Drosophila melanogaster: one gene and its partners. The protein of the gene in region 3 purifies or fractionates together with the protein of the main gene of each other region. This does not show direct contact. Each region holds a gene or a part of one and is shown on either strand. Other genes may lie near its edges. The genes, in order: dsh, ninaE and Arr2.

Evidence for each region.
Region 1: the proteins of Arr2 (region 3) and dsh purify together in Drosophila melanogaster (affinity purification with western blotting, with the first as the bait; one study listed by BioGRID). This does not show direct contact.
Region 2: the proteins of Arr2 (region 3) and ninaE fractionate together in Drosophila melanogaster (co-fractionation; 6 studies listed by BioGRID, with this or other methods). This does not show direct contact.

What each region holds. Positions count from the first base shown.
Region 1 is NC_004354.4:11,353,233-11,361,190, reverse strand, and holds dsh (dishevelled), read right to left. Parts: upstream 5,311-7,958; 5' UTR 4,838-5,310; coding exon 2,966-4,837; 3' UTR 2,467-2,965; downstream 1-2,466. Other genes in the region: Pa1 (PTIP associated 1), read right to left, coding at 1,428-1,587, 1,654-1,862; CG1737 (uncharacterized protein), read right to left, coding at 6,656-7,958.
Region 2 is NT_033777.3:19,882,895-19,889,829, reverse strand, and holds ninaE (neither inactivation nor afterpotential E), read left to right. Parts: upstream 1-1,623; 5' UTR 1,624-1,799; coding exon 1,800-1,807; intron 1,808-1,870; coding exon 1,871-2,431; intron 2,432-2,606; coding exon 2,607-2,754; intron 2,755-2,812; coding exon 2,813-3,090; intron 3,091-3,158; coding exon 3,159-3,285; 3' UTR 3,286-3,575; downstream 3,576-6,935. Other genes in the region: Ask1 (apoptotic signal-regulating kinase 1), read right to left, coding at 4,099-4,336, 4,402-4,674, 4,735-5,634, 5,975-6,121, 6,185-6,935. UniProt on the Drosophila melanogaster protein: Visual pigments are the light-absorbing molecules that mediate vision. They consist of an apoprotein, opsin, covalently linked to cis-retinal.
Region 3 is NT_037436.4:8,644,943-8,651,486, reverse strand, and holds Arr2 (arrestin 2), read left to right. Parts: upstream 1-2,550; 5' UTR 2,551-2,661; coding exon 2,662-3,517; intron 3,518-3,584; coding exon 3,585-3,779; intron 3,780-3,841; coding exon 3,842-3,996; 3' UTR 3,997-4,226; downstream 4,227-6,544. Other genes in the region: Pex7 (peroxin 7), read right to left, coding at 771-945, 1,028-1,780, 1,849-1,940; CG13305 (uncharacterized protein), read left to right, coding at 4,957-5,738, 6,199-6,319, 6,403-6,471. UniProt on the Drosophila melanogaster protein: Regulates photoreceptor cell deactivation. Arr1 and Arr2 proteins are mediators of rhodopsin inactivation and are essential for the termination of the phototransduction cascade.

The DNA of each region.
Region 1 (7,958 bases), on a different chromosome or scaffold from region 3:
GTTCGGCGACTAAGTCGAACCGCCTAATCTACGCAAAAAAAAAAAAGTAACATGTGCACATATAGTCGTAAGGTATGTCAATTAATGTTGATCAAATGCCATTTTAACCTACAATACTTCGAAACAGAAACGAATTATATATTTACAAGCTATACAAGCCACTATACAAGCCGGTATATGCACAACCACACACCCGCAGGCACAATAACTTATTATTGCTGTTAACGAGAAAGGATATTTCCGAAATAAATCAATTTTCTTACGTGTTTAAATGCTAACTTTTATTAACTGCGAACCATTAGGTTAGCAGCATATGGGAATTCTAATCTACACATAACATCATATAATGATGTCATTATATATAGAAGGTTTTTCTACGAAAACGAAAGGGATGGAGTTACGTTTTCCGGAACAACCTTGGCTTATCATAATTCTTAGTAGTCTATTTTTAGCTCATGAGAAGTTGATATTGTTTAGTAGGGCAACTGTGCTGATTCATTTCGTATTAGTTGTATGTACGGAAGTTGACTGATCTACAGTTGCCTTACTAAATAGTTATCTTACTCATCTTGGATTTAAATGTACATCCGTTCTATCCTACATTCTATATTCTAGTTTTAACAGCTATTAGTGAAATTCAGTTCTTTTATGTACAGAAGTTGACTGATCTACAGTTGCCTATCTTGTTATCTGCTTTACTCGCATTGGATTTAAATTTACATCCGTTCTATCCTATATTCTATATTCTAGTCTTCAAACGTCGGTTTCGGACAATACTATCAAGAATATTGTCATAATATATCAAATAAAGACAATTAACATTTAGAACGTAAATTTCCCACGTGCTAATTAAGGATCACATACACATCCCTCTGCTTAAACATAAGTTGATTAGTTCTATGCTATCTTCTCAATTACAAGTTCTTAGTCTAAAATGAAGAACTGACCAATGCAATGGGAGTTAACATCCTTAACAGCTAGTTATGCATATATGGTAATTGAAGTTCAAACTTCTCTGAGTTGCAACTTGTTGGTTCACAAAGTTTTTTAGAATTCCAAAGACTGCTGCAATTTAAGCTACAAGCTAGTCACATGAATATGGTAATTAAGTCATAATATGCCTATGTTTTGATGTTTAAACTTCCTCTCTAGATGCTGACTAATAAGTCATAATAAGCTTATGTTTTGATGTTCAAACTTCAAACTCTCTAAATGCTAACTATAAGTATGGTAATTTAAATCTTAAGTAAATTGAAGTTCAAACTCTCTCTAAATCCTTACATTAATGCGATTTGCAGCAGAGCTCCACAGCCCATCCTGTCGATGGTTGTAAAACGACTGATGCTTATAGACTAGTCCGCATGGCGATAGAGTACGATCTGCAGCCGATTGCCTGGACCGGATCAGCATCAGAATTTCGGCGGGTGCTATGAGCTCTCGGCATTCTTCTTCTTCAGCGTCTCCATGACGCCGGCGAAGTTGGCCGTCTTCTTTTTGGCCGACTTGGGCGTGGACGTCTGGCTGCGGACGCGCATCTGGGTGGGGGCCACATCGTCGCTGAAATCAAAGTCGTTGGCCTTCTGCGGTCTGCGGGGACACGAAAATCAATCATAAGTTATGTTAACCTTCGGATGGTGCTGCACTTGTTCTTACTCCTGCTCAATGGCGTCGGTGGCCTGTTCGAGTTCCTTGCTATTGCCGCCAGATCCCGCCTCCGGCGATGGAGCCCTGCGTCCCGGAAATTGCCATTGCAGTTCCGGAATATTTCCCGCCTCCAGCATCAGATAGTAGCCCTCTAGCTCCTCCGCGTTGGCGGAGAACTTGTCCGCCGTATTCGCCGCCGGCTCCACATCCGTTGCCATCGTTTTCTCGGATTTAAACAATCCAAATGAACTGGAAATTTGCGTTTCTTTCCACAATAGAACCTATTGGTTTCGCGACCTTTCTGGAATGAAAGCGATAGTTTGCTTTGGCGTGCTTATCGAACAGTTATCGAACGTTCGTTGCTATCGATTTTCGGGCTTAGTGTTGCAAAGTGTCCGAGCTGGGCGGTTGATTTGAACACATTTGCTGCTCGAAATGGATTTTCTATTTATAGGTTTCATTATTCTCTTCTTTATTAAGTGCACACCCATGCCCGGAATGTTTCCGCTCCGAGTGCACACAACTTCGAGGATTGTTCTCGATGGCGCATTGTTTGGTTTAGGGGGAAGAACAATATTATCTTGTTGAGACTTTTACTTTTTAGGATGGAAAGTATGTGTTTAAATATTGTTAATCTGTACAAAGAAATAAGAACTAACAAAAATTAGACTTCCTTTTTAATGTATATTCCTCAAATTACGAACAAACGCTAATATGTTTTAGGAATATTTTAAAAGTCTTCTTGGCAATTTGATTTGCACTTGAAAACAGCTAAAATGCGTTAAAGAAACCAATCTCATGCATATGGAAAAGCCATCGATTATTCATTTTATTTGTATTTATTTACTTTGTGATTACTAAATTCTTAGAACTTTATTCAAAATCATTCTCGCCCGTCATGCTGCCGTTCCTGCTCCTCCGCTCCGCTCCGCATCATCCATATATATATATATATATATATATATATATATATCATATATCATATATCTCAGTTGATCTGATCTGATCGGGTCCACAACCGATTGCTGCCGGACACGGATATCCCTGTGCTGATCCTCCTGCTGCCTCACGAGCCCTCGCTGATCCTTGACTCGTTGCGGCTGGGTGTTTAGCGTTCTTTTCTATGACTTACACATACCATACATATACATAAGTATTATTATTATTATTATAATTATTATTATTATTATTATTATAATTATAATTATTATATTGTGGTTTGCTGTTTGCTTGCTTTGTATACTCGTATATAAAAAAGAATAATCGTACATATTTAATTTAATTAATTAAAAACACAATTTGATTGCAAAAAGAAAGGTTTCTACAATACGTAATTAAATACGGATACGTCCTGATCGTTGGTATTGTTGCCGCCACCGCCACCGCCTCCGCCGCCGCCCCGATTGGAGGAGCCGGATGATTTGTTAGAGCCATGAGCGGCGATGGTCAGCTGGTTGGCCTGATGGATCACCGAGGTGATGTCGCTCTGCGACGCCGAGATATCCTTGCTGGTCAGCACATCGCTGCTACTCGATCCCGACGAGATGTGTCGCTCGGCGATGCCGTACTGGATCGGCTGATAGCCGTGACTTGGATTGTACGTGGCCGAATATGGCATATAAATGGGCGGGTTCGGTAGCGGCCCGATGTCGCTGGTGATGCTCTCGGTGTCCGCATGGCTAAGCGCATGGCCGCCATGCCCGTGCGGCAGCTGGTGCGGATGCAGATGTCCTCGGCCCAACAGATTGGGATTGCGCTCCTCGTTCACCACGTAGTAGCACTGCTCCGAGAAGGTCAACTTATTGACCGTATGCTTGATGTAATTGCTGCGCAGCATCGCCGAGACGATCCTTCGCGCCTCCCGCCTATCCTGAACATCCTCCACATTCTCCAGCACCCAATTGACCGCATCGGCGCCGATAAATGCATTGGGAATCGTTATCTTTAGCCACATGCGATCCCTGATCTCCAGGCCGCTGTCCGGCTTCGTCATCGCCTTAACGATCTCCTCGAGGTTATTCTGGTCCAGACGCTCCTTAATCGGCTCCGCAATGTCGGCAATAATACTGTCGTGCGATGTGAGGGCCTGAGTGTGCGCCACCCAAGCACCGGGATCGATGGGTCGCACCGGCTCCGTGCGCGGAATGGTGAAGTAGCCCTTGGGATTTGGGTCCCAGCACTTGGCCACCACCAGCTTGATGGGTCCCGGCTTCTGAACGACTTCTCTCAGCACACGTACCGCCTCGTCGTTGGTCATGTTCTCGAAGTTGACATCGTTCACTTGGAGGATCATGTCGCCCGGTTCGATGCGTCCATCGAGTGCCACTGCGCCGCCTTTCATGATGCTGCCCACGTAGATGCCGCCGTCGCCGCCGCGATTCGATTGCCCGACAATGGATATGCCCAGAAAGTTGACCGCCTCCATGTTGATGGAGACGGTAATGATATTTAGGGACATGGTCGAGTCGGTTATGGAGCTGTACGAGGAGGTGCGCGACATGCTGGGCGCCCGTTTTTTGCGCCTCTGCGGCTTCTTGCGCACCTGCAATCGCTGAACGCTGCTATAGTCGGTCATGTCGCGGTCCAGCGTCAATTCGGATTCGGTGCCAAAGAGACTGGTCGAGTCCAGATCGCTGGAGAGCACGGATGCCGATTGATATGTGAGCGGTGGCGGCTGCAGCAGCGGATTGCCCATCATCTTCTGGTGATGGAGCACCTGCTGCTGTTGCTGCTGCGCCAGCTGGACAGGCTGCACCTGCTGCTGCTGTTGTTGTTGCTGTTGCTGGTGCTGCTGCTGCTGTTGTTGTTGCTGCTGCTGATGCTGCTGCTGTTGCTGCTGTAGCTTCCTGTTGGTCAGACCCATGCCCAATTCACACTCACTGGTTGGCAGCTCGGAGCAGTTATCTGACTGATTGGTACCATCGGCGGAGACCAGCCAGGACACCACTCGCCCATTGAAGCAGGGCAGTATGGTGGAGTCGTCGGCTATTTCCTCTTTGACCACACCGAAATCGGCGTCCATTGACTTGAAGAAGTACTTGTAGTTGTTGTTCTGCTTGTTCAGCACCAGCTTGAAATCGCGCAGCGTCACCTGGGCGGATGGAATGGGGATCTTCACCAGATACGGCGTCGTCTCATCGTCGATGTGGTATATCACCTTCGTCTCCTGCCCGCCGCCCCTGTCCGCGTCCATTTTAGCTGCGCCGACTGCGGAAATCCACGGGAAAACTCCTCGACGCGATAAAACGCGATCAAAACGAAATGCGATGGATGCGGTGGGGAGGTGGCGTGGGAAGTTGGTGGGGAAAAATCACAGGGAAAACGGGATTAAGCCAGGGAAAAGCCGATACAACAAACAAAATTCACTCGATTTTGCTTTTCTCCCCCTGGTCGCTCTAGCCCTCTCGCTCTCGCACGCGTTTCTTTTACTTTTTCTTTCTCTTTTTTTTGGGCTGGGTATTTCGATTCAATGGAAGCGGCGGCTGTTAATTCGTCGATTTGCACGGCGTTGATATTGCTCCATTAGCACGATTTGGTGCGCTTTAATGTCGGTGCACGCAGCGGGGGCAGGGCGAAACGAGCATATTGCTAGTTTATCAATAAATTTGTTAGAATTTTGAGACTAAAAAAAAACAGTGTGTTAGCCGCTCGTCACGCACGGAATGCCAAAGCGCCGGGCAGTTGGTCACACTGCCGGCGATGCCAGACCCTTTCGAATTCGAACATTCTTAACATTTTCTCAAACGAATATTCTGAAAAAGCGTATGGAAAACTACTAAAAACTGCAATGTATTTAGTTTCTATTGGAAATGCTCTCTCTAACGATATTTGCTTTACAATTTGAATGTAGTTCAAACACTTTTAAAATTAAATACCAAAGTTATCGATAAATATCGTTTAATTTGAATACTTATTCAAAACAATAAATTTATTATAATTTAACAAAATAGCAATTTCTATTACATAAAACATGTAGAATCTAAAACTACAGCTATATTGAACTCTTAATTGTATTAATTTACCATATAATGATGTAGCATAGTTGAAGAGTGTCCTGTTTAAAAGTAGAGTCTTTATCCTTGTCATGGAAACTTGACCAAGGAAACTCATCCATCCATCCACTTGAAGCCTGCGTTCCTTATCTTCTTTCGCTTTTCACACGAAAATCTCTAGCGTTGGCCGCAGTTTATTTATAGCTGCCCGATTTCCAGATAACCCCGCCCGCCATTTATCACGCAATGGCGCTCGTTATTTAAATCAGTTTTCTCTTTTATTTGTATGCTTTGAATTGGGATCACTTAGATATACACTCGACTAACTTACTGGCTAGTCCTCCACGCGGGCGTAGGCACATGTACGCCCGGTTTTATATTATTGAATCGACTACGATAATAGCAATTTAAAAAAAAAGGATTTCGAAGGGGGCGGGACTCGCGGGGAAGGCGGAGGGGGGCTATGTATTCCAACGCATTTAAAATAAAAATCATTATTGATATACCTCGACCGCCCGGAACTTCGCAATCCCTTCGAGAGTTGGGCGAGCATTTTACAATTAATTGTTTTCTTTAGTTTAGTTTATATTACATAGATACATCTGCCGTTTGTATTTATGTATGTCCGTCCGCTGTTTATAATATACGAGATATATATATATAAAAATTTATATAAATATATATATATATATATTCATATATATAAATATATAATTATATATACGTGTATATATATTAATATATATTTATATACATACATATATATATATACATATAAATATATATAAATTTACGCTACACTAGCTATTACAACTAAGTTAATGGTTTTACAAAAAAAAACTTGTATCTGTTTTATTACAACTACAGCATAAAACGAATTATCGAGTGTCCGCTTTGTTTGTTTGTGTATGTGTATGGGGGAGGGGGATGGGGATGGGGAGGGGAGTGCTGTGTGTGAATTATTTTTTACAATGTGATACGTGCTCTTCCTGTGGCCACCATGGACCAGGCCTCCACGCTCACTTAGCGTTGACCAGCTCGACAATGTTGCTGCTGATCGAGAGGCGATCGACGATATCCAGCAGGATCTCCACATCCTTGATGGTGGCAACCGTCTCGGGGGCACCCAACAGATTCACATGCTTGCCATCGATGTTCGCATAGAAGCATTTGTTCTTGAAGATGACGGCCCGATCGTAGGGCACGCGGCACGTGTTCTTGTCAACGACAACGCGCCGGAAGAGCACGCACGACGGCTGATACTTGTGACGGTCCTCCTCGGGTATGTTGTACGCCTTGAGATCGCCCGTAAAGATGGTCATTGTCTGGCGGGGCATCATCGACGGCGAGACCTTGTACAGCGTCACCTTGCTGGTCCATTTGCCCGATGGCACCTTTATCCGTGACGCCACATTGGCCAGCTTGACCAGCGCCAGCTCCAGGCAGGTGCGCTGCTGGCGCGCCATCTTCGACAACATATCCTTGGCCGTGCTAACCACATGCCACGTCTCATAGCAGGTGATCTTCTTTACCACACGACCATCCTCCTCGTGAAACGTTGTGGTCTCGGGCGGAAAATATTTGGGACTGTTGGCATCGTCGATGCCACCGCCGGTGGGCAATATTTCGCGCAGCGTTGTCAGCTCCTTGTCGCGCTGCTGCTCCTGCTGGTTCTCCTTGCTGCGACGCTGCGGAACCAGGCTCGGCTTCTTGAACACCGGCTGGACATCGTTATCGGCCAGCAGATTGCTCAGCCTCCGGTCCGCAATCAGCGCATTCACCGACGACGCTGTCGTGGACAGCACATTGCGCCGATTGTTGTTCAACTTGTTAACCGCTACCGCTGCTGGAGCGGACGTCATCGCCGCCGACGCCGCCACCGACGTCGTTGTCGTCACCTGCTTGGACTTGGCATTGGCATTGACATTGGCATTCTTACGGGTAACAATAGATACCGGTATATTATCGATATCAAAATCGAGATCTGGATCCGGATCGTCCTCTTCGGTGTCGACGTCCGTGGGACAGAGCTCCTTGCCCATGCTCATCAGCGGTTTCATCGACTGCGTCTTCTTGCCCATTTCCGCGTTGAGTATCCTGGGCCGGGGCTTCGGCAGTTGACTCTGGATATGCACTGGTCCCATTTTGGTATTGACACTACTGTTGCTGGCCAAGATCTTGATGCGCTTGGCTGGATTCCCCGCCGTCGTATTGTTGTGGTTAACAGCAGCGGACAGGGATTTCTGCGTGCTGTTAACAGTGATGGATTTCTTATCGCCGGCAACCGAATTGCCGGTTCCGATATTCTTGGTACGGGGCCTG
Region 2 (6,935 bases), on a different chromosome or scaffold from region 3:
ATAATATTATATTATAAGCATATTATATTATACTTACTTATACTTTACTTACTTATTAAATTCGTGAAATATACAGAGCATACTTTCAGGTACATACACCCCGAACTCAAATCTTTATCGTTATCAATACACGATCAACATAAATGTATTATTGTCGTATTAAATATTACAGAGAAGGGCATTCAAAGTGCCGGGTAAGTTTGGTTCTGCCTCTCTAGTTTCAAATTTGCCCGCCTCATTGAGCAGGAAAACAACAAATTCCCCAACAATAACAACGTCTACGGATCGCAGCGTTTATCTCGCTTATTTGCTAATGCTAAATGATCGTCTTCTTCCCCGCCTTCGGCGGCCTTCTTCCACTTCACATCGCAATGTTTGTTGCAAGTTGGCTTGTCCATATGTCTCTGTTGTTGCTATACCCATTTCGTTACTTGGCTTTTATGTTTGGGCCATCTAGCAGGTGGGCGGGGGACTTTTGTTGTTTAGCGAAACCCGAAAATGCCGAATAAATTGAAATGCGATTCATGGTTTATACCCAGATTATTTGTATATATGCATACACAGAACTGTAGGTAAATACGTAAGTATGGGAACCGCAAGTGCGGCTAACGATGACGCCAATATAATGATCATGATGATCAAATTGATGGTAATGATAATGGCGATATGAGCGCAGCTTCCGGTTTTGCGCCTCGGTATTTTTGTTAGTTTTTTGCGCTGGCTAACTTTATATGAATATTTATTACCTGCGCTTTTTTTGTATTGTTTTGCGGTGTGTAATTGATTTAAACCGAAAGATCTGCCGACATGTGTCGACTGTCACACCAGCTGACAGTTATTTCGGTTTAGTTCCATATTTGGGTTGGGCGCAAAGCGTGGCATCCCATTTGGCCATTTGGATTAGCCTAAAACTTGACCCAATTCAAGCTGATGTGTTGAGCCATCGCACAAAGGCGAACAAAAGGCTTTTATGCCAAAGCTGGACTGACAAAATAAAATCCAAGCTGCCCACACCAAAAAGAAAAGAAACAAAACATGTTCGGAAAATTCAATGGAGGTGCGAAAAGATCAATCAGCACAAAAAATCCATAAGCGGCTTAGCGTCTGGGGTGTTCATATTCTTAATTTAAATAGATTATTTTACTACTTCCAAAAGCTGGCATTCTTTTTAAGATAATCCAAGATTAGCAGAGCCCTCAAGATGTGCGTTCATCGGCGCACACACTGCGTATACTTGATTGCGCATACGCACTGGTGTCGCAGGCGAACGATACTGATATTTCTTCTGCTACGATATGTTTTCATAATATTCTTCAAATTTGTCTAGGCATTGACACATTAAATCGCTGACTTTCGCCATTGCTTTCTGCACAATCTGGAGACTCAAGAATAATACTCGGCCAGAACCCCCAGTGGAAACCCTTGAAATGCCTTTAACTATTGACATTGGCCCATTGCGATGTGCGCTTGCTTTCGTTATGGATATTATGATTATAAGCCAAAAGCTGTCGACACTTTCCTCTGCACATTGCAGACATATTTTTAGGCTGGCCTAATTGAATTTCAAGAGCAGGGGTTACACGAGCACCGCGAAAACTATAAAAGCCATGCGGCAGAATGCAGACATTGCAGGTTTCCAACGACCAATCGCCGCGACTAGTCCGCCCCAGTGAAATATTCAGAATCCAGGAACCCTTTATGTAAAAAGTGTTAGAAATATTGTTAGTGAATTTGCAGCTTTTTATGTAGACAGTGTGATATAGGCGGGATATAGTGACGCAGCCAGTAACCAAAACACAATGGAGAGGTACGATCGGTGGATCCACTGGATGTTCTGGTTAGCAATTTAACATTTGCTTCGGTGTTGCAGCTTTGCAGTAGCAGCCGCGCAACTGGGGCCACACTTTGCCCCCCTGTCCAATGGATCGGTGGTGGACAAGGTCACGCCCGACATGGCCCACCTGATCAGCCCGTACTGGAACCAGTTCCCCGCCATGGACCCCATTTGGGCCAAGATCCTGACCGCCTACATGATCATGATCGGCATGATTTCCTGGTGCGGAAATGGCGTGGTGATCTACATATTCGCCACCACCAAATCACTGCGCACGCCCGCTAACCTGCTGGTCATCAACCTGGCCATCTCCGACTTTGGCATCATGATCACAAACACGCCCATGATGGGCATAAATCTGTATTTCGAGACCTGGGTGCTCGGACCCATGATGTGCGACATATACGCCGGACTGGGCTCGGCCTTTGGCTGCAGCTCCATCTGGTCCATGTGCATGATCTCCCTGGATCGCTACCAAGTGATCGTCAAGGGCATGGCCGGCCGGCCGATGACCATTCCGCTGGCCCTGGGCAAGATTGCCTACATCTGGTTCATGTCGAGCATTTGGTGCCTGGCGCCCGCCTTCGGCTGGAGCAGGTGAGTCCTTGAAATGGTAAACCTTCTGGGAACCCATTTTTTAAAAAATGATCAAAGCTACTATATACAAATGTTTAAAAACTTAAATTACAAACAAAAGGTTTACAAATTACAATTGTATTAATATTATTACCACCTAACATTATCCTATAAATATATATTCTTAATCTAAAAGGTATGTGCCGGAGGGTAACCTGACCTCGTGCGGTATTGACTACTTGGAACGCGACTGGAACCCACGCTCATACCTGATCTTCTACTCCATCTTCGTGTACTATATTCCGCTGTTCCTGATCTGCTACTCTTACTGGTTCATCATTGCTGTAAGTGGCGACGAGACTCGCATATCCCAGTCGCTTAACCCGATATATCCTCCCACAGGCTGTCTCCGCCCACGAGAAGGCCATGCGCGAGCAGGCCAAGAAGATGAATGTCAAGTCCCTCCGCTCCTCTGAGGATGCCGAGAAGAGCGCCGAGGGCAAGCTGGCCAAGGTGGCTCTGGTCACCATCACGCTGTGGTTCATGGCGTGGACACCATACCTGGTCATCAACTGCATGGGACTGTTCAAGTTCGAGGGCCTTACACCACTGAATACCATTTGGGGAGCTTGCTTCGCCAAATCGGCCGCCTGCTACAATCCAATTGTATACGGCATCAGGTTGGTTATGGGCTATGAAACGTATATACCTTAATATTTAACCAATTTTTTATTTTCATTCCGTATAGCCATCCGAAATATCGCCTGGCCCTCAAGGAGAAGTGTCCTTGCTGCGTCTTTGGCAAGGTCGACGATGGCAAATCGAGCGATGCCCAATCGCAGGCCACCGCCAGCGAGGCCGAGTCCAAGGCATAAATTCTTTGGCGCAACAACCAGAACAGCAACAACAACAACAAGAACATCTAACTACTTACAACAGCAACAACAACAGCAACAAAAACAACAGCAAGAACAACTGCAGCAACAGAACGAAACGCTTTCGAATAACATCAAAAACTTCAACAATAATGAAAAAATTATGCAACTTTCTTACATAACAAAAAGCAATGTAAACTCAGTTATTAAATTTCCTGCAATGTCAGTTAAGGACAAAAAAAAACTCAACAAAAAAAATAAATGCAAACGAACTAGAAAAGTTATAAATTAAAATGAGCCTTTTCAAAACATAGTATATCTAACAAAAGCAGCTTTTAGCGTGGAAAAACCCTAATGACGAACCTACAAAAGTTCGGATATCAACTTTCGGTTATCTTTCGCCTTTAAAGTTTGGAGAACCACAACAAATTTGAGTTTATTCATTCTTATATGTATAATAGTCTTCTTCAGAAGCTATAAATCCTTTCCAGTTAACAAGAAATACCCCTTTTTTGCAAAGCACTTCACAATATATTATCTATTTCAGTTTTTGTTTTCTTTTTTTTTTAAATTAAAGGCACTTATGTAAATTCCATTTTTATAAGTTAACATGCAATCGTTAAAACTGGACACACAGACAACGCCTTTTCGAACTCAAAGTTGAAAAGACATGAGTCAGCATGGGAGAACTTAACCCAGGGCTGCTGGAGACTCATTGAGCTGAGCCTCGCAGCGGTTAGTAGCACATGGAGAACATTAACAATTAATCAGTAGTATCTGTAAAGGCACAACTCAGAAAGCTTTCAACTCCAGTCACTCGCTGCACGAATCGTACTCGCTTTCGCTTTTCTTGATTTTCGTTTTGATGCCCGGCGTTCCGGGAGTTGTGGTTGTGGGTGATGGTAGCGTATTGTTGTTGTCAATAAGCGCAAAAGAGCTATTGCCTCCAATGGGTTTGTGGTAAGTGCTTGGTGGACTGTCCACACAATCGGACGAGGTGCACACACGTTCTTGTATAATGAGTTTCCACAAACGCACTTCGATGCCAACGCTGCAAAATACCAAAAGTTAGTTGAGCATGGATTAAGTGTACTTTTCTTATAAGCTTTAACGCACCGCAGACCCAGCCTCATGAGGTCCAGCTTTTCCATGTTATAGATAAAGTCGTCAAATGTAAAACCTTCATTCAGGATGAGCGTCTTTGAGAACTCGTCTATTTCCTGCTGGGTCAACCACTGCTCCAACTGCTCGTCTACTTCGTGAAGACCAAAGTGATGCTTGTTTAGCTGCCTCCGGGGATTGCCCGCTATATTCGGACGGACTCCGGACGTTCCGCCCACACTGGTACTCATTCTATGGCACTTTTTGTTAAAGCCGTTTATTGTGCGTCTGTTAAGATGAAATTGTGAATTATAATAAAATTTACAATGTCCTACTTGGTTTACCAACCTTAATCTCTTTCTGCCGCCCATGTAAATGTGAGCCAGCTCCTGACTGATATTATGCAGGGCCCTCATGCTCTGCCGCTGCTGCTCAAGGAGCTGGCGTTGCAGCTTCTGCTGATTGTCACGGATGTCTCTCAGGATGCGCGCGCACTCCATCGAACTGGACAGAGCATCCCCGCCCGATTCCGCAGGCGTTAATCCCACACCTTCGCGAGTGTTGCTCGTGGGAAGAACTTTTTCCAGGCTCTGCTTTTCCTGGCTCTCGGTGGAACCCTTCTGCATTAGACTTGTACGCAAGCTCTCATCATCATTTCCAGACAGGTCTTTGTCCGCCAGATTGGCGCCCAGTTCAGGAGAGAAAATAGTGACCGCCGCCTGGACGGCCCGCTTAACCAGATTATCCAATGCGAACATCCAATGGGGTTTGATGCAATGGTACCGCAGTACGCAGACCACGGCGTCCTGAAAGGAGTACAGCGCCAAATGAAGATGGTCCAGAGCAACTGCGTCGTTGTTCAGCTTTTGTTTCAGTTCGTTGATAGTCGCTTCCAAATGCTTTTCGTTTTCGTTCATAATGTAGTCCCGCAGTCCTCGGATTAGAACCTCCAAATCGCTTTTCCTAATCGCAATCGAGTTCTGATCAGCGTCGACCTTCTTCAGCCAAATATCGCAGATCTTGGATTCGTCTAGTGCCAGCACCTTGGAAAGCGTTGTCCGCCTCTGCGAATCCTTTTTAAGCCTGTAAAAACCGTCAGTCTCGCTCGTCTCACTAATGCTCGTACGCAAGGACGGCGTGGAAGGTTCAATCTCTGGCGAGAGCAAAAATCCATGGGAATTTCGCCGTTCAAGCATAAACTGGTTGCTGGGCAGCTCGTCAATGTCCACCGAGGATGAATGCGTTATGCTGAAATAGGAAACAGAAAGTACAATATAAAATTACGTTTATTTTACAATACATCAAGTGCTATCTCTTCTCAGTATCAAAATCCGAGTGCGCATTTTCCAATCATTAAATATGCACTTTACTGATAGCAACAATCAATGTGTTAACTACACGATAAGCAAAGGCACTTGTTACTCTTATAATAGTAGACGATATGGGAAAATATAGAGAAGCACGGAAAAATTTTTATATTCATTAAAATTAGCAAAATATAAATGATAATTTTCAACAGATAAGATAACCTCTGCTTGTAATTGAGGAAGGTCGAACATGATAAGAATAGTCGCAGCGTTTAACTTACTCCAATTCCGGCGTTGTGGGCGTATTGCAGGTTGTGTTGTAGCTCAGCGGCGGTGTGGTTTTGTGCACAAACCGATCAGCCGGCACCGAAATGCTGCGTCCGAACTCAGTATTGATGGGCAGGGCTGGGCGCACCTTGCGGGGTTTACTTATTGAGAAAATTAAAAGTGCAATTAGAAAGGAATTAGGCAAAACAATTAAGCAAACTCACTCTTGTAGGAAGGGATCTTCCAGAAGTTGCGAGGCGGAGGGTCGGTCCATCACGCTGATGGCAAAGCAACGCAAAATAAAGTTCTTTGCGTTGGCGGACAGCTCCTCGGGTATGTTCGGATGCTTCTTGTAAAAGCCCACCTTGAACATGGCCGCATGGGCGCTACCCAGCTCGATAAACGGTGGTTTGCCCGTAGCCATCTCAACGTTTGTGCATCCAAAGGACCAGATGTCAGCCGCCGGGCCATAGCCGCGTACTCCCTGGTCAATCACCTCCGGCGCCATGTACTGCAAGGTGCCCGTAAAGGTCTCCGTCATCGGGTTGATGCGGGCCAGCCGCTTGGAGGTGCCGAAATCGGAGATCTTAACCACGCCGCTATACGTGTTAACCAGCACGTTGTCACCCTTTATATCGCGATGAACAATGTCCTGCTCGTGAAGGTACTTCAGCCCCTCGAGGATCTGCTTGGAGTAGAAGGCCATGGTGGACTCGTTGTCCTTGAGCGGACCCCATTTGGTCTCTAAGAGGTCGGAAAGCGATCCTCCCGGCACCTGCTCCATGAAGATCTTGAAGAAGCCGTTCTCCGAGCACGATCCCAAATAGCGAACTATGTTGCGATGTCGCAGCTGAGAGTGTAACTTAATCTCCTCGTGCAGTGGCTGCACATCCTGCGAGTTCTTTTCCGGCACCTCCTTAATGGCGATTCGCACCTGCGTCTGCTTGTCCCTGGCGGCGTACACGGTGCCATAAG
Region 3 (6,544 bases):
TTGCCCCGAGTGGCAGTTAAAGCGCAGTCTGTTGATAATGACGGGATCGGGGTGCCAGGATCTGGGATCTGTGATCTGAGTTCGCAGGGAGCAACTGCTGCCATTTCACACCATGCCATGCCGAAAAGGTGCGATGGCTGGCACACCTTTGGGCAATATCCACCTTGTTGGCTGTGTCAATTCCGGGAATGACAGGGATTTCGGCTCCACTCGGGCAATAAAACGTTGCAGCAAATTAGCGCTTTATTGCGTGTTTGTTTGGTCAGAGTTAAGCCAACCGGATAAGGATGCCAAGTCAATCTCCGTCAGCGTCTGGCTGGCTCTTTGCCACCTAACCAATTCGAACTCCAATTCCGTGATCCGTTAAATTCTTGTTAAGACAAGGGCCGAGTGCAAATTATAGCCAGGGGCCAAGAAACTTATTGCGAAGGCCATAATAACATACAGAGCAGCGCAGAAAACCCATATAATTCATATAATACTCGTGATATATGTAAGCTTTTATTGACATTTTGAAGCACCTGCTTGAGGTTTTAGCCCGTTCAGCGTTTATCACACAGCTATTTACACGTCATCGTTGCGCCGATGAGTCCTTGTCTTCGGTTCCTTACAGTTCCTTATAGGCATTGCATATAGCTCAGCTATCGTAATAACGGTGCACCGCTTGTAGGCCTGGCTATTTCGACGCCACTAGCGCCTTATCACATGTGTTTTCGGTATTTAGGGAGTACCAGTTCCAGTTTCCAGTTTTGGGCATGCCCTGTACTAACCTAGACGACCAGATCACCGCTCAGACACTGCGGGGTATAAACGTTGGCCAACGAGTCCCAGCCACAGTCGGCCAACTGATGGGTCCTGTGGGGATTCCAATCCAATCCGCACACGAACTCCGTGTGCCGCGCATTGACCTCCTGGGCGGACTCACCACGCTCCAGATTCCAAATCCTAAAAAGGTGACAAAAGTGGACAGTTGTTACTAACCATAAAAATGTCCTGTTTTTTGAAAGCCTAAGATCATTCCACTTACCTTGTGGTAAAATCATAATTGGCCGATGCCAAGACCGCTGCCGAGTGCGGTGAACAGGCCAATCGCCGGACAGCGAATTCTCCAGAGTACAGCTCAAAGACGTGCGTCCTCATCTTGCGCAGATCCCAGCCGCGGATCAGACCGTCCGAACCTCCAGTGACCAGGACATTGCGATCGAAGTGCGACCAGTCGCAGCATAGTGCCTCACTCGCATGCGCCTCGATGCTCATCAGGGGTTTACCTGCAAAGTCAAGAGAGTTCCATAAGTTAAGATGTCCATCGGTACTTACGCTTGCAAACAGATTGGCGATCAGGGGCGAGAACTTGGCCCCGTAGATCAGATCGTTGTGGCCCACAAATGTGGTGATGGAGTTCTGTCTGTTGCAGTCCCACAATTTCAGTGTACAATCCCAGCTGCCCGAGAGCAGCGTGTGGTAGTTCCACTTCTCGCCCCAGTCCAGGCTGTACACCTCGTTCTTGTGCTCCTGCAGGCAGATCAGCGGCTGTTTCGGCGTCAGCTGGTTGCTCGCCGATTCGCCATCCAATCCGCACCAGATCTGAAGCGATCCATCTCCGGAGGCAGTGGCGGCGATATCGGCGGCATACGGACACCAGGCGACGTCGAACAATCCATCGGACCACTCTAGGCGGCACAGCTCTCCGAGACTCTGGCCATCTGTGGATGAGGAATTTGTGTTGGAGTTCTGTTCCAGCAGAAAGAGGGAACCACCTCCAGCAAGACCGTACAGTTGGCTGGGTATCGAAAAAAAATGGTTTTCTATTAGTATATTGTTGGTTTTAGAGCTTAAGATTGATCTCACCTTGTAGCTAGCAGCAAGTAGTTAGCCTCGAAAGGCGAAAAGCGCAGGCTATAGCCATGTCGGTCTGTGGTGGTGTGTGTCTGTGTCTGCATCTTGGTTCTAGATCTCAACTGCAAAGAAAAAAAAAGGAGAGATTCAAAATAATACCAATTTCTCTGGACCTTAAATATTATCTAACATTAACTACAATGAATTGCGACCTTTGGTAAGCTAGTTGTAAGAAATGCCAATTTCAATTATACCTCTCACATTAAAATCAATATATCGACGTTTGATACATAACAAAATTAAAAACATCTAAGGTTTCTCCTTGCTGCCCACTGATGTTTGGCTAAGAGAGAACAAAACTGGCCGATTGATAACAACCCGGTAACACCAAATCGGATGCTAATCCAGCTCCAACCTACCATGCTCAATTATTCAACAGTTGGCCAAATGACCTCGTACTAGGTCGGAAAATCGGAAAAAGATACTTGACATTAGCCAATTTGCTCGGGCAAGTGGCAAACTGCGCAGAAAATAGAACAACCCCTGGAAGCAGCTTGTTTGCAGTTTTCCCTTAGTTCCTATGGTTCTATCTTATTGTCGTGTTGGACAAGCCAACAAACAAGTGCATAACGAGCAAATCCAGTTAGTGGCCAGAATGAAGACCCACGGACAGGGCCAGGGCAAAGGTATATAAGCAGGTTGTACGGCACTTGGGTTTCGCATTTTCCTCCGCCGAACGGAAAACTCTATAACGCGCATCGCCCGACTTAGCCTCGAATTGCCCAGTTGCATTTGCCAGGAATCAAAGAAATCCACTAATCCACAATGGTTGTATCCGTGAAGGTCTTTAAGAAGGCCACGCCCAACGGCAAGGTCACCTTTTATCTGGGACGCCGCGACTTCATCGACCACATCGACTACTGTGATCCCGTCGATGGAGTGATTGTGGTGGAACCGGACTATCTAAAGAACAGGAAAGTCTTTGGCCAACTGGCCACCACCTATCGCTATGGTCGCGAGGAGGACGAGGTCATGGGAGTGAAGTTCTCCAAGGAGCTTATCCTGTGCCGGGAGCAAATTGTGCCCATGACCAATCCCAACATGGAGATGACACCGATGCAGGAGAAGCTGGTCCGCAAACTGGGCAGCAACGCCTATCCGTTCACCTTCCACTTCCCGCCCAATTCGCCCAGCTCCGTTACTCTGCAGCAGGAGGGCGACGACAATGGCAAGCCCCTGGGCGTCGAGTACACCATCCGGGCATTTGTGGGCGACTCCGAGGACGATCGCCAGCACAAGCGGAGCATGGTCAGTCTGGTGATCAAGAAGCTGCAGTACGCTCCCCTCAATCGTGGCCAGCGTCTGCCCAGCTCGCTGGTCAGCAAGGGATTCACCTTCTCGAATGGCAAGATCAGTCTGGAGGTTACGCTGGACAGGGAGATCTACTATCATGGCGAGAAGACGGCTGCCACCGTCCAGGTGTCGAACAACTCCAAGAAGTCCGTGAAGAGCATCAAGTGCTTCATTGTGCAGCACACTGAGATCACCATGGTGAACGCCCAGTTCAGCAAGCATGTGGCCCAGCTGGAGACCAAGGAGGGCTGCCCCATCACTCCGGGCGCCAATCTCACCAAGACCTTCTACTTGATTCCGCTGGCGGCTAACAACAAGGATCGCCATGGTAGGATTTGGATGTGATAGTTGTGATTCTGGATAGTTTCTAATGGATTATTTAATTGTGAACTCAGGTATCGCCCTGGATGGTCACTTGAAGGACGAGGATGTCAACCTGGCTTCATCCACCATGGTGCAGGAGGGCAAGTCCACGGGAGATGCCTGTGGTATTGTCATCTCGTACTCGGTGCGCATTAAGCTCAACTGCGGCACTCTGGGAGGTGAAATGCAGACGGATGTGCCCTTCAAGCTACTCCAACCGGCACCTGGTAAGCTTTAGAAGATTACTTGAACTTGACTTCTAGTTTGTAATTCCTTTGATGTGGTATAGGAACCATTGAGAAGAAGCGCTCGAATGCCATGAAGAAAATGAAGTCCATCGAGCAGCACCGCAATGTGAAGGGCTATTACCAGGATGATGACGATAATATTGTATTCGAGGACTTCGCCAAGATGCGCATGAACAATGTGAACATGGCGGACTAGGCCACCGATCTTCAATCTCTTCTAGCTCTGTTGTGAACCGAATTGAACTAAATCGAAAGCACTGAAAATTTGTTGCAGCAGTCTCTCGTGGAGGCCACAATCTTTGTATTATAATCGTATCTATAATGTAACTTTGGTGGATCTGGAGTTTGTACCCGTACATATGCATGTTGATGAGTTGAACAGACCTCGTGTCGCTATATTATAAATGTGTTATGGCTATCAAAAGCACTCACCTTTTCTCTCGTTTGCGATGTAGTATCCAAAAGTGATTCGGTAAGGATTCGGTTTTTGGTAGTGGATTGTTCTTGGCGGTGCTGTGGGTTTCAACTTCAGAAGTCGAATGATCTAAACAACTGCGCAGCTCGACGACGAAGGATCTGCTGGCAGGAATTCTAAGGGTGATTTTTCAACGATGACAGGGGGTTGAAAAGCCCAATGCTTATAGGTCACATCGTAGGCTTTCAACCCCTTGCAAGAAGCAACAGGCTGCCAGGATATGTGTTCCACCAATCAGGATCAACCAGAACTGGATATGGCCGGCTCTAACGGTCAACGGAAGTTCCAAGCTCCAGATGTTGACAATGCGTTTGCCAAAATACACAATTTTTGTGTATGCTAAATAGCCCAAGCTTTTGACCTTGATGATGGCTAAGGCCGCCAGCTGCCAGCAGTTTGATTCTAGGTCTCATCCCCGTCAGTCTAGCTGATTTTCCTCTTTTTTTTGGTTTTTTCTATTTTACAATTTTCTCGCATTTTATTTGCCATATCTTATATAAGCCCTGCAGCTGACCGTTGGAGCATTGCACAATCCGGGGCAGCAGCGTCGATCGATTTCACACACCGCTGACTGCTGGGCAAGTGACTTCCGGCTTTTGGCCAAGCCCCGAAAAGTGGCCAACTATAAATGGCTATGTTGTTGTCAAAATGCTGCCACAAATTTGACGAGAGTGCAACGCGATGGATCTGCCAATTGGAAAGTTAAACGGACTGCTAAAGATGCAAATATTCCTCCTGCAATTGTTGCTTTTCGTTTCGCCGGCATTGTTGCAGCAGCCACATGTCTTTTACCATCCAAGACAATTGTATTACGATTCACCGCGTCTTCGTCGCTTTGAGTATGGTGCCGCTGCCACGCCCATTGTGGGCGGCTATAGTCCGGCTCCTCCGCCGGCGATTCACTTTCAGCAGCAGACGCCACACTTTCAGCTGATTAACTATCGGCCGAGTTATCAGCCCTTGGGCTTGGATTACCAGCAGCAGCAGTTGCCCGCTCCTGCCGCACCCCCTCCGCCCCTGTATCCGCAGCAGAGTGTCCAGTACCAGCAGCGGACCATCGCTCCACACGCCGATTTGGCCAAATATCGATATGAAGGTAACTATCTGCCAGTGCAACGGGTTTCGCTGCAGCAACCACAACGCCGCGTCGAGGAGCAACACCAGTTGCAGCAACAGCACTTGCAGCAGCAACACTTGCAGCAGCAGCAGCACTTGCAGCAGCAACACTTGCAGCAGCAACAGCAGCCGCAGCAACTCTACAATGTGCCACCGGCTCTTTTTACCAGCGATGTGTTGCATGTGATTCCACCTCGCATTGCCAGATTGCAGGAGCAGCAGCAGCAGCAACCCTCACAGAATGTCCAAACGGAAAGACCCAGGAGGTACGCCAAGGATCTGGACACGGATGTGGCCGAAACCAGAAGTCCAGCTGACCGAAGTGCCAAGGAAACCAAGTACTTTCAGTAAGTTAATTGGGTTGAAAAATAATTGAAAAGTGGTGGTTGCTCATTATTTTGGAATAGCTCTTAACATGCACTTCATGCCTAAAATCAATTATCCATTTTTTACACAAATTTATTAACATACATATTCATGCAATTCAGTAAGAAAATTTCGCTTGAATATGGGTGAAATTATTACGAAATAACGGTGGTGGTTCAGTTATTTATTAAATAAAAGGATTTTCCTAGTGAAAAATGGTGGATGTTTACCCTTTCGAACTTAACAAGTAGTGCCAACAGTTTTTTTTTTTTTTTTGTAGAAAAATTTTTATAGAAAAAAGGGTGAAAAGTGAGTAACATATTTTTGACAAAATGGTGGCTGTTATTTAAACAATGAAAACTAACAATTGGACAATTACAATTACTTCCTAATTCTAAAATTAATTAGTACTAATTTCTTTCTTTTAATTTCAATGCTTAGTGACATTTTCATGCGCTTTGATGCACCCGATTCGCGGAGTCATGGCCACGTCCTGAAGCATCCGAAGGCCCAGGAAAAGCGATTTGAATCCCAGCGAGGCACGAATCGTTACAAGGGCGAGGTGAGTTGAGCTTGAGAGCCAACTTAATAAATTTCCAGATAATTCGGCAGACTTTCTCCCTCTTAACCACTCGATCGACTTAGGTGATTTGGACAGATCGTCAAGGAGGTCACGGCGAACATCGTTGGGACATGGCGCAGGGAAAACTCTGAGATCAGACCTCGATTTGCATACTCCATAACATTTTTCCCATCCCCCCCAAAAACTCTCTGTACATACCCATGC